Canis lupus familiaris: one gene and its partners. The protein of the gene in region 1 interacts with the protein of each later gene in a pairwise test. Links are inferred from orthologs where the notes say so. Each region holds a gene or a part of one and is shown in the gene's direction. Other genes may lie near its edges. The genes, in order: COQ8A, TMEM239 and TFIP11.

What was found.
Region 2: the proteins of COQ8A (region 1) and TMEM239 interact in binary tests that used the Homo sapiens proteins (3 or more experiments, as listed by UniProt). The two-hybrid records come from large-scale screens. The link is inferred for Canis lupus familiaris from reciprocal best matches to the Homo sapiens genes COQ8A and TMEM239.
Region 3: the proteins of COQ8A (region 1) and TFIP11 interact in binary tests that used the Homo sapiens proteins (3 or more experiments, as listed by UniProt). The two-hybrid records come from large-scale screens. The link is inferred for Canis lupus familiaris from reciprocal best matches to the Homo sapiens genes COQ8A and TFIP11.

What each region holds. Positions count from the first base shown.
Region 1 is NC_049228.1:38,071,973-38,075,717, reverse strand, and holds the start of COQ8A (atypical kinase COQ8A, mitochondrial), read left to right. Parts: upstream 1-1,594; 5' UTR 1,595-1,718; intron 1,719-1,730; exon of another isoform or gene 1,731-1,820; intron 1,821-3,745. UniProt on the Homo sapiens protein: Atypical kinase involved in the biosynthesis of coenzyme Q, also named ubiquinone, an essential lipid-soluble electron transporter for aerobic cellular respiration.
Region 2 is NC_049245.1:18,897,853-18,900,794, reverse strand, and holds TMEM239 (transmembrane protein 239), read left to right. Parts: upstream 1-1,216; 5' UTR 1,217-1,352; exon of another isoform or gene 1,353-1,798; intron 1,799-1,935; 5' UTR 1,936-1,949; coding exon 1,950-2,405; 3' UTR 2,406-2,418; downstream 2,419-2,942. Other genes in the region: C24H20orf141 (uncharacterized protein C20orf141 homolog), read left to right, coding at 580-851, 945-1,179.
Region 3 is NC_049247.1:20,595,554-20,599,298, reverse strand, and holds the start of TFIP11 (tuftelin-interacting protein 11), read left to right. Parts: upstream 1-1,022; 5' UTR 1,023-1,075; intron 1,076-2,759; 5' UTR 2,760-2,768; coding exon 2,769-2,977; intron 2,978-3,745. UniProt on the Homo sapiens protein: Involved in pre-mRNA splicing, specifically in spliceosome disassembly during late-stage splicing events. Intron turnover seems to proceed through reactions in two lariat-intron associated complexes termed Intron Large (IL) and Intron Small (IS).

The sequences.
Region 1 (3,745 bases):
TGGCATGACGTATTTAAAGCACTGAAGGAAAGAAAACCTGTCAACTCAACGTTTTATATCCAGTAAAACTGTCCTTCAAAAATGAAGGACAAATTAAGACTTTGCCAGATGAACAAACACTGCCGGCATTCATCATTAGGGCACACCTGCCGTGTAAAAAAAAAAAAAAAAAAAAAAAAAATGGTGTCCTTCAGGCTGAAATGAAAGGACGTTAACTCAAATGCACATGAAGAAATAAGGAACCCTGGTAAAGGAAACTATATAGGTAAATAGGCAGCATTAATATATTTTTTGTTTGTAACTCTTACTTCTCCTGATTTTTAAAAAAAGACTTGAGAGAAAGCACGAAAAGAGAGAGAGGGAGAGAAGAGAGAGAGAGTGAGAGAGCGAGCGCACATGCAAGGGGAGAGGGAGAAACAGGCCCCCTGCTGAGAAGGGAGCCAGACATGGGGCTGATCCCAGGACTGGGAGATCATGACCCAACCTCAAGGCAGACACCTCACCAACTGAGCCACCCTGGGGCCCCTCTTCTCTTGATTTGAAAACGACCACATAAAGCAATAATGATAAATCTGTGGAGGTGGGCAGACAATATAAAAAATGTAATTGTATGACAATACCAAACAGAAGAGGAGTAGAATGGAATTATATAGGAGCAAAGTTTCTGTGTATTATTGGAATTAAGCTCCTATTAGGATCAGGATGTTAATTATACCCCAGGGCAATCACCGAGAAAACAGAAGGCGTGGCCACCCCTGTCACCTGCCACCATAGTTTAGATGAGCCCTGAGGACAGACTGCCTGGTCTGGCAGCCTGGAGGTCACAGGTCACAGGTGCAGTTCTGGGGGACATGCGGGGCGAGGGCTGACCAGATGGCTTCAGGCAGAATGGGAGAGAAGGAAGCAGAGAAAATGAATGCAGTTACTTCTTCCATGAGCTTTGCTGAAAATGGGAGCAGAGGTGGGGATGGGGCAAAGGGTGAGAGGTGGCTAAGCGTCATCGCAGGCTGGTGGGAAAAACATTAGGAAGCATTCTGGAGATGGCAGGGGGATTCCTGGAGCATCCTGCTTCTCAGCGGAGTGTCCCACCTGAGTCTTGGGTTATGGGGGGGGTGAGCATGCACGTGTGCAGGTATGCACACACACGTGGCACGACACTCCTATCCTGGGGGCAGGGGAGGAGGCGTGGGGGGCTCCGCGAGTCCCGGGCGGGAGCAGAGGGCGGGCGGAGGGTCCGTCCCGGGGCTCACACTCATCCCCCGGTCCTCCGCCCCCGAGCCGAGGGCAGGTGGAAGGTCCGGCCCCGGGCACAAGCCCACCACGCGGCCCCCCACTTAGGGAAAGTGGGCGCCGCCAGCCGTAGCGGTTTCCCAACTAGGGCAAAGGGCAGCGCCGAGCGAGGGCGGGAGGGGCCCCGAGCGCCCGGCGGCCCCCCATTGGACGCCCCTCGCTCCGCCCTCGGCTCTCATTGGCCGCGGCGCGCGCGCACGGGCCGAGCACGCTGCTCCGCGCCGCGCGGCGTGTGGCCGGGCACGGCGGCTCGGCCAATGGGAGCGCCCGCGGGGCGGGGCCGCGGCCGCAGGGGGCGGGGCCGCGGGCGGGGAGTCCGGACGCGGGCGGCGAGGTAAACAGATCCGGGGCGCTGGCGGCGCCGGCGCTGCGGCGGGCATCGCGCAGGCGGCGCGAAGGTGACCCAGAGCCCCGCTTCCTGCCGCCGGGTAAGGCCGCCGCGCGCCGCGAAGGCACGGCCGGGCTCGCCTTCCGCCTGCGCGCGCCCCTCCCTCCGGTGCCCCGCGCCCGGGCGGCTTCCCCGTGCCGAGGTGCGCCCGCCCCCGGCCCCGCTCCCAGTTCCCCGGCGGTGCTCGCTCCCAGGCCCGCCGCCCGTGCGCGGGGTTGGGCGTGCCGCCTGCTGCAGGCTCAGGCCGGAGCTCCGACTCCCGGGTTTCACAGGTGGGGGTTCGGGGTGGACTTGGGAAAGGGGGCCCTTCTCGCTCCTCTGCTCCGTTCGCTTTTCGTGGGCCCTTCCTCCTGCTTCTGCAAGCACTGGGGTCCCCGGAGTGCCTGAGCTGGTGCCTGTCCCTCATCCCAGCCCTCTGCCGCACGCAGTGTGTGCGCGGGCCCGGGGGGCCCGGGAGGCCGCCAGGCAGGTGTGGGCGCTGGGGCTCTCCACGTGGCTGAGGGGTGCCAGCCTCCTGAAGGGCGAGAGGCCCTCGGCTGCCTGTCAGCCTGTCCCGGCACAGCCCGTTGGAAAACTTGGGCTCGTTTGGGCCCTGGGGTGTGCGTGACAGAAGACCCAAGAGCTGGGCCTGCCACGCCTAACGGGTTGCCAGAGGATCCCAGCAGCGTGATACTCGCCTGCCAGTTGTCCTGTTGTGGATGGACAGGTCATCCTGGCAGGATGGCCCTTCTCCTGAGAGGGGAAGAGGGGGGTACTGTTGGTTCACAGGAGCAGTGTCCTTAAGACTCTGGTGGTGGCTCTGGGTATTTTGTTCAGTCTTCTAGACAGTGCAGGGTTATTACAATTTTTGGCCTGACCTTGGGCAGCTTGAGGGAAAAGTGACCCAGGTGATTTGAGCACTTCCTATGTGTCACCGCAGACAGGTTTCCCCGTCTTCAGACTATTGACATATGGACAGGACAGTTCCTTGTTGTGGGAGGGCTGCTCTGTGCATTGCTGGATGTGCAGCAGCATCCCTGGTCTCTGTCCGCTATGTGCTGGTAGCAATCCCCCACCCCAACCACACACACTGGTTGTTAGAGAAATCAGAAATTTCTCCAGACATTGCCAAATGTGTCGTAGGTAGCAAAATCGTCCTTGGTTGAGAACTATTGAGCTAAGACTATAAAAAGAGTCTTCTCATGCTGCTGGAGAGACGTGCTGGGACCTGTGAGTGAGTAGTTGAGAGGCTTAGACAAGAGATAGTAGTGTGCCCCCTGCCCTGAACCAGTGATAGAAGCCATGTAGACAGGCTTCAAAAGAGACCACTCCCCCCGCCCCCCCAACTGGAGGGAGAGGAGAGCCATAGGAGGTAGAAGCTCATGGGCATTGCCGGGGCCTGCTGGATGCGTGGCAGTGACGGTCCAGAGCGAACAGAAGTAGAAGCCTGGTGGTTTCTATCTTTGGAGACTTTGCAAGACAGTGGGGGATATGCATGTGGAGTAACCATGGATCAGTTTTAAAATAGTGACTAAACAAGTTTCAGGCTTCTGTATCTTGGCAGAAAGGTCAACTCCATTATCCACAAGTGGCTCTTCAAGGTGATGCTTTGGTCATCTTCTTGTGTCTTATGATGTGGGAGGGGACCAGCCCTGTGTGTGCAGAAAGTAAGTGGCTGCATTTCAAGCGTCTGTGTGGGGATGCTGACATGAGCTGTGTGCCCCTCATGAGAGGCACATGTATCACTTGTACAGTTCCTTTATGGGTGATTGAAATGTCAGTGACAAAGATGCAGAGAAAGAGGCTTTATTTTTAAGTCTAGATTTTGCATTCAGTCCAAAAGTTCAAAATTTATGTCCCAAAGTTCAAAGTACCAAATCGATGGGATGCAGAAAAGCTGAAAAACAGTGATTATTGCCTAGGGCAAGGAAAAATATCCCAAGCCCCGATCTCCCACGATTTCTGTCTTGTTAATTGACTCCTGTGGATGTGTATCAGGATTTTCCTGTGACATTCCTTGGTTTAGTTAGGCGGCCTTTTGGGTGCCCTTGGTTGCCAGTAGAAAAGGATCTGGACAGAGAGGTCACT
Region 2 (2,942 bases), on another chromosome or scaffold:
AGCCTATCTCTGCATTTCAGGGCTGCAGTCCTGAAAATTCCCCCACAAGGCATCATCCAGCTCTCAGGGGAGAGACAGCTGCCGACAGGAAGATTGAATAATTGTCCCTGGACACAGAGCTCTGGGAACCCGCAGGAGAAAGAGAGCGGCCCTTCCTCTCTTACCCACGTGGTGATGGGGTTAGAATGCCTTCCTGGTAACTCAGATCCTCTTGGGGAGTCCTGGGGGCAGAGAATTCACCAAGGCAAGAGGATGAGTCTTAGTTCTCAGAAATCATGACTCCCTTCTGGCTAAGCCTCACCTAAGATACCAGCTGCTTAGGAGGTCAAAACCAGCCACAGCTCCCTCTGTACCCCAGAACCCCACCTGGCAATAGGTCACAATGTCCCAGCTGCCCAGTCCCATAACAGCTGACTGAAGTAGCAGGTGAGGAGGGTGTGGTGAGTGAGTGTGTGGGGAGGCGGAGATTCCCACGCAGTTTACTCTCGAGTGTCTGTCAGGGCCCCACCCGGTCCCACATACCTACCCACCCCAACTCCCTCCCAGCACTAGTCCTTCCTGTCATCTCCACCTCCCTCTATGACCCAGCTTTGCTTGCCCAGGCCCAAAGGCCCTGCTTATCCTATCCCAGTCCCTCCCAGGGGCCTGAGTGCTGGGGAGGGGTCGAATAGTCCAGTAAGTCCATGTATGTCTCCCTGGGGCCTTAGCCCGGCCCAGCTCTGGGACAGTGTCCTAGGGCTGGGGGCACTGGGACTGACAGTTCGGGCAGTCTTTTCCACGGCTGGCCCAGTCTTGCTGCTGCTGCTGCTGCTGCTACTGGTCAGCTTCCTGACCTTCGACCTGTTCCACTGGTAAGTGTGCAGCAGCCTGGCAGGTGGCAGGAGTAAGCAGGGAAACAAATAGTCAATTTCCGGAAGCCCAGCTGTCACCCTGTCTCTCCACAGCCCCGCAGGCCCCGTCCAACCACAGCACATACTTCTCACAGGCCAGAGTCAGGGGGCCGGTGAGGGCCCAGGACTGCAGGAGGCTGTACTCCTGCCTACGGTGGCAGTCACGGGACAACTCAGCCCCCAGGAGGCTCTGCTACTGCTGCTCCTGAGCCTGGGGCTACTCCTGGGAGCCTGCAGCGTGCCCTTGGCCCTGCTTGGCCTGGCTTTCTACCTCCATCCTTGGATCTGAGTGCCCTCCAGAAATACACTGGCAGTGTTGCTTCCCCAGATCGCCTTTCCTCTGTTGTGGGTGGAGCAGGCAGGAGGGTACCCCTTTATCTCCAGTCTGAACCACAGGGGACCTTCAGCTCCACAATGTGGACAGTGGATACCCGGGTCTGAGTCTGAGGACAGCAACAGAAGGTGAGCTAAGGGACGGGGGTCCCAGGGCAGGATGTGGCAGCCATCTCCGAGTTTGTGGGTTGGGAGGTGGCCATTCTGGCCTCCTCTGTGGTTCTAGAGTATCAGTGTCCAGAAAGACTCACAGGAGAGCAGAGTAGGACTGGATATCAGTTAGTAGGGTAGGAACCAGGATCTGGAGGGGGCTTCCCACAAGAAAGCGTGACAATCTGCATCAGTGGGCTCAGCAGCACCCCCTGGCAGCCTGGAGGGTCCGTGGAAAGGGATTCAGGTGAGTCTTACATCCTGCAGTGACTCCTCTCTTGGTTGGACCCCACCCCTACCCGGGTCACAATAGGGATCTGGTGGGGGGGAAGGGGGGACAGAGGGACAGCAGGGGCTCCACTCTGGCCGCTAGGCCGTCCTAGGTGCTGCAGGAAGCAACATGACTTAGGTGGTTCTGCCCAGAGGTAAGCCCCAGGCCCTGGCTCAAAGCCTCACCCCACCCGTGCTGGTACCCTCCTGCCCCTGCCTCCTGCCCCCCACCTGCCCTGAGGTCCCAGGCATCTCGGGGCTGCTCCTGCAGCTGGCCTGGCCCTCTCCCCAGGTGTACCAGCCAGGATGCAGCAGCCCCAAGTGGAGACGGGTGCCATCGGGGCCGGCGAGGGGCCGCAGCAGGCAGTGCCCTGGTCAGCCTGGGTCATGCGGCAGGCCTGGGTGCGCTGGTGCATGTGCCACATGCCTCGGAGCTGGGCCCAGTGGTGGACCACATCGGGCTGGCGGCAGCCACTCCAGCGTGTGCTGTGGGGGCTGGAGGGGATCCTCTACCTGCTGCTGGCGCTGATGCTATGCCACGCGCTCTTCACCACCGGCTCCTACCTGCTGAGCTCCTTGTGGCCTGTCGTGACTGCAGCGTGGCGCCATCTGCTGCCAGCTGTCCTGCTGCTGGTGCTCAGCGCCCTCCCTGCCCTGCTCTTCACGGCCTCCTTCCTGCTGCTTTTCTCCACGCTGTTGAGCCTCGTGGGCCTCCTCACCTCCATGTCTCACCCAGACTACACTCAGGACTTGGACCAATAGAAGGGCAACCCCATCCCGCTGCCTGTGTCTGTTGAGCCCTGGGGAAGGGGAGGCCCCAGACCTCCCATCCCTAGCACTGCTCGGGCCATGTGTGATGTTGCTAAAGCTGGCAGGGTAGACTAGCCTGACCTCTGGGCACCTTCCCCAAGCCAATGCTACAGGTACTTGGTGTGGGGCATTGGGGGCTTTGAGAAGGGACAGGGCAGAAGGGTTAGCCAGGGGCAGAGCTCGGCCAAGCCACTGAGAGTTCCCACAAGGCTGTAGTGACACCACTAGGGCTCCCTTAGCAACTGGCAGCAGCTTTTTCTTGTAGCTGCTCAGCTGTCTCAGCTGCGGACTCAGTTGAGAATTTCTAGTTCGGTAGCCCTGACTGGCCATTCCTTTCACTAACCCCCCAACCTCCGCTCTTTCCCCAGGCTCTAGAAAGAGCCCACTGACAGAAACCTATCTGGGAGAAGGCCGTCCAGAAGTCCCATGAGACCTCAACTAACACCTCTCGCTCCTTTCTGCTCAGGCATCCCCCACTCCCTAGACTTC
Region 3 (3,745 bases), on another chromosome or scaffold:
TTCTATGAAACCTCACTTTCTAACATCTTTCCTGACTACACACTGTGTGTCGGCCTCGGTGACACACGTCAGTGGGGACGCAGAGACCACGGGAGTCACAGCGCGTGTTTCGAGAAGCTGGCAGTCGCTTGCCTTCCTGTGGGTTCTGGTTTCATTCACAACGGCGGGAAGTTGGATCCAGATCTTTGACTAAGAGCCGGGTGCGCTCCGTGTATTCTTAACAACTGCCGCTTGCACCTTTTCATCATAGGAAGGAGAGAGAAAGAACGTGAGCGAAGACTAGGGGCTGACACGCCTAGGCAGCCCTGTGCTTGCACATTTCATCTCCCCGGATCCTCAACCATTTTGCAGAAGAGGAAAGCGAGGCTTCCAGAGGCGCAGGGACTAGGGGGGCCCCGGGCCCGGGTGCTTGCGGGGTGCAGAGGCAGCCGCCACTCCCCGGGCGGCCCGAAGCCCTTGAGCCTCGGCCCGCGGGGCTCCGCACGGTCCTATCAATCGGTGAAGGAATGAAGGTCTCGACCACGGGCTGGGGGGCGGTTCCCGGAGGGAGCGCGTGGGGCCCTGGTCCGCCCGTCCCTGCGCTCTCAAGCTCCGCGCCCACCGCGGTGCTCGGCCAGGGGCCCCGACGGCACCCGAGACCTTGCTCCCGCCGGCAGCCTGGCCCCGCGCCCCGCGCCCCCCGCCCCGCGCCCCGCGGCCGCCCGCTGGCCCTCACCGCTGCCCCGTGCGCCAGTCCTCTAGCCCCTTTTACGCAGTCGAGTCTCAGACTGGCGGCGGGGTCCCCGCGGGCCGGGCGCGGCACGGAGGTCGGGGAGGTCGGGGAGGAGGTCGGGGAGGTCGGGGAGGTCCGGCAGCGCGCCCGCCGCCATCCGAGGCCCTGGAAGCCCCGCCTCCTCCCTCGCACTCGGCCCCGCCCCGTTGGAGCCCGGGACGCGCTCGCCCGTCGCGGCCGTGACGAAGAGCGCCCCGCGCCCGCCCCCGCCCCCTTGTACGTCATTTCCGGCGCGCCGCCGCGGGCACATCCGGGCTCCTGGCCTCCGGCCGGTAGCTGCGCTTGGACCCGGGACCTGCGGAGGTGAGCGGGGCGGGGGTGCGGGCAGCGGTGGGGCGTCCCCGCCGGCGGGCGTGAGTGCGGGGGACGCAGCCCCTCCGCGCAGCCTGCTCCAAGCCTGCTTTCGAGCGCCGTCGGCGCGGAACCGAGGCCCGGTGCTGCCCCTGGCTCGTCCGCCCCGCGCGGGCTCTTCGGGGGCCCGGGGAGGCCGAGGCGCTGCGGAGCCCCGAGTGCTCGGGGGCGCTTCCCTTCTGTGCGCCCCGCCAGCGTGGCGGGGGTGCAGTGAGCCGGGGAGCCTGGGGACTAGCGCCCGGACGCGCCGGCCCCCGCGAAGGCTGCTTGCCGCCCGCGGCTGTGGTGACGCCGCGACGCCGCCGCCGACCCGCCGGAGCTGGGGTTTCAGCAGTCCTCCCCGAGGTCCCCTCCCCAACCTACTGATAGTGGCGGTGAGGAACCTGATCTGGGGCTACCGTAACAGCCCTTGCTCCCGGAGCGTTTTTACTCTGAGCTTAGTATTTTAAATTTTTTAAGAAATACTTATTTGAGAGAGAACGTGAAGCGGGGTGGGGAGGGGCCGAGCTGGAGCGGAAGAAGCAGAGTCCCCGCCGAGCAAGGACCCCGAGGTCTTGACCTGAGCTTAAGGCAGATGCTTATCCAGCTGGCCCACCCAAGCACCCCTGAGCTAAGCGTCTTTTAGGCACCACCTCGTTTAATCTGGCTCACAGGCATTCCCAGAGGGTGGGGGTAGAGTCAGCTGAATCTCATCACTCAGCTACCAGGAGCTGAAATCTCTGTTAAGGTAGGGTTTATGCCTTCAGAAGAAGTTCATGTTTTGGGAGGAAAACTTTTAAGTCTTAGGGTCTCACCAAGTAATATACTTCAGGAAGCGTGTTCTAAAAACCATCACTCCCGGTGGTGAACCGCCAAGGGTCCAGATATAGTAACTCTTTCCTCATATTTAGTTGTTGTTGATCCTTCGTTTTGACTCCAGAGTAACTACATTTTTTTGTGAGATTGTAAAAGTACCATTGAAGTTACAACTAATTTAAGAAGAATGGGAGAAGGCCAGTTAGAAGCCTCAAATCTTCCAGCAAACATCTGGCATTCTGAGGTGACAGTGTCCGTGACAGGCGAGCCACCCAGTGCTGTAGAAGAAGAAAAAGAAACAGCTGAAGAACCGGAAAAAGAAGTCCTCCCAGACATCGTAGAGCCACTCTCCATTCTAGATGTGCTGAGGATCTCTGCGGTTCTGGAAGATACTGCAGACCAGCTCTCTATTCTAAACTATATCATGCCAGTTCAGTATGAAAGAAAACAAAGTGTCATCATGGTATTAAAAAAAAAGGGGGGGGGGTTCCAGGAAGATGCCCACCCCGTTTCTGAGGCAGTAATAAGTAGAATAACATACCGAGTTATTTTTTTGTGGGTTATTTAGGTGTGAGTGTGTGTAAAGTTTTATGACCTTGACCAGGACAGGGAATCGCATATTGTTGGGACCAGTCTTTTGTCCCACCTGTTTAAATAGTGTTTGTTTTCTGAAATATGTTTTTAATGTCTGCCTTATTGAACTGTTAACAATGATTTTTAATCATTGGGACTTTGAGTGTGAGGAAGTTTGAAGGGAGTGAGGAGCAGGGACGGAAGCCTACTGCTGCTCTCCCCTCAGGACTTACCACAAACCACGTGCCTTTTTTATTCCTTTCTTTAGTGACCTGTCATGTCACTGTCCCACTTGTACCGGGATGGGGAAGGCCACATGGATGATGATGACGATGAGCGGGAGAACTTTGAGATCACCGACTGGGATCTCCAGAATGAATTTAACCCCAACCGGCAGCGCCACTGGCAGACCAAGGAAGAGGCCACCTATGGAGTGTGGGCAGAGAGAGATTCAGATGAAGAGAGGCCCAGCTTTGGAGGCAAACGGTACTGGCCAGCATGAGACTGCTTCCTCCTCGCTTTAGGGAAGATGGGGGGTGGTGGGAAGATAGCCCACTAAATATACCTTTCTCCTGGCCTTACCAAGTCCTGTAGCTACGATATAAGCTAGGGAGGCCCAGCTTCCTCTTTGGCCGGAGTGCTGCTCTTTTGCTGATTTAACCATCACTTCATGTTTAACGAGCAGTTATATGTACCATGTCGTATACTGCAGCCCCATTCCTTTCCTTCTGGGAGCCCAGACGCTAGAGCATGGAGACACATTAATTGACAGCTCATACGATGGAAGTTTATAACTGATTTAGGACCTGAGAGAGAGAGAGTTTGGCCTATTCTGGGAGGTGAGGGAAGATTTCTCTAGAGAAGTGACTTTTGAGTTTCTATTACAGCAGAAGGTAATGAGGGTGGTAGGAGAGGCACGGGTATGCAGAGGCTCCTGAGGGGAGGCGGTGGGTGTCCACAGGGGTACAGAAAGCTTTGCAGGCTGCGGTGAGGGAGGGAGAGGGGGCATAGTTTGAGAAGAGGTCTGTGGTAGAGCGGATGATGTGGGCTGCACTTACCTTTGGAGAAGACCTGTCAGTGTGCAGAGTTGACAGGGAGCTGCAGGGGAAGAGGAAACTCCATGAGGCAGGAGAGGAGGATTCAGGCCAGTAGTCGTCCTCCCCAGTGTGAGAGGTCATGTGTGCAGTGGCCACAGCTCACTTGACCAGAGCGTGTAGCGAGTTTGGCTTTGTCTCTGTGTTTCGTCTGTGGTTT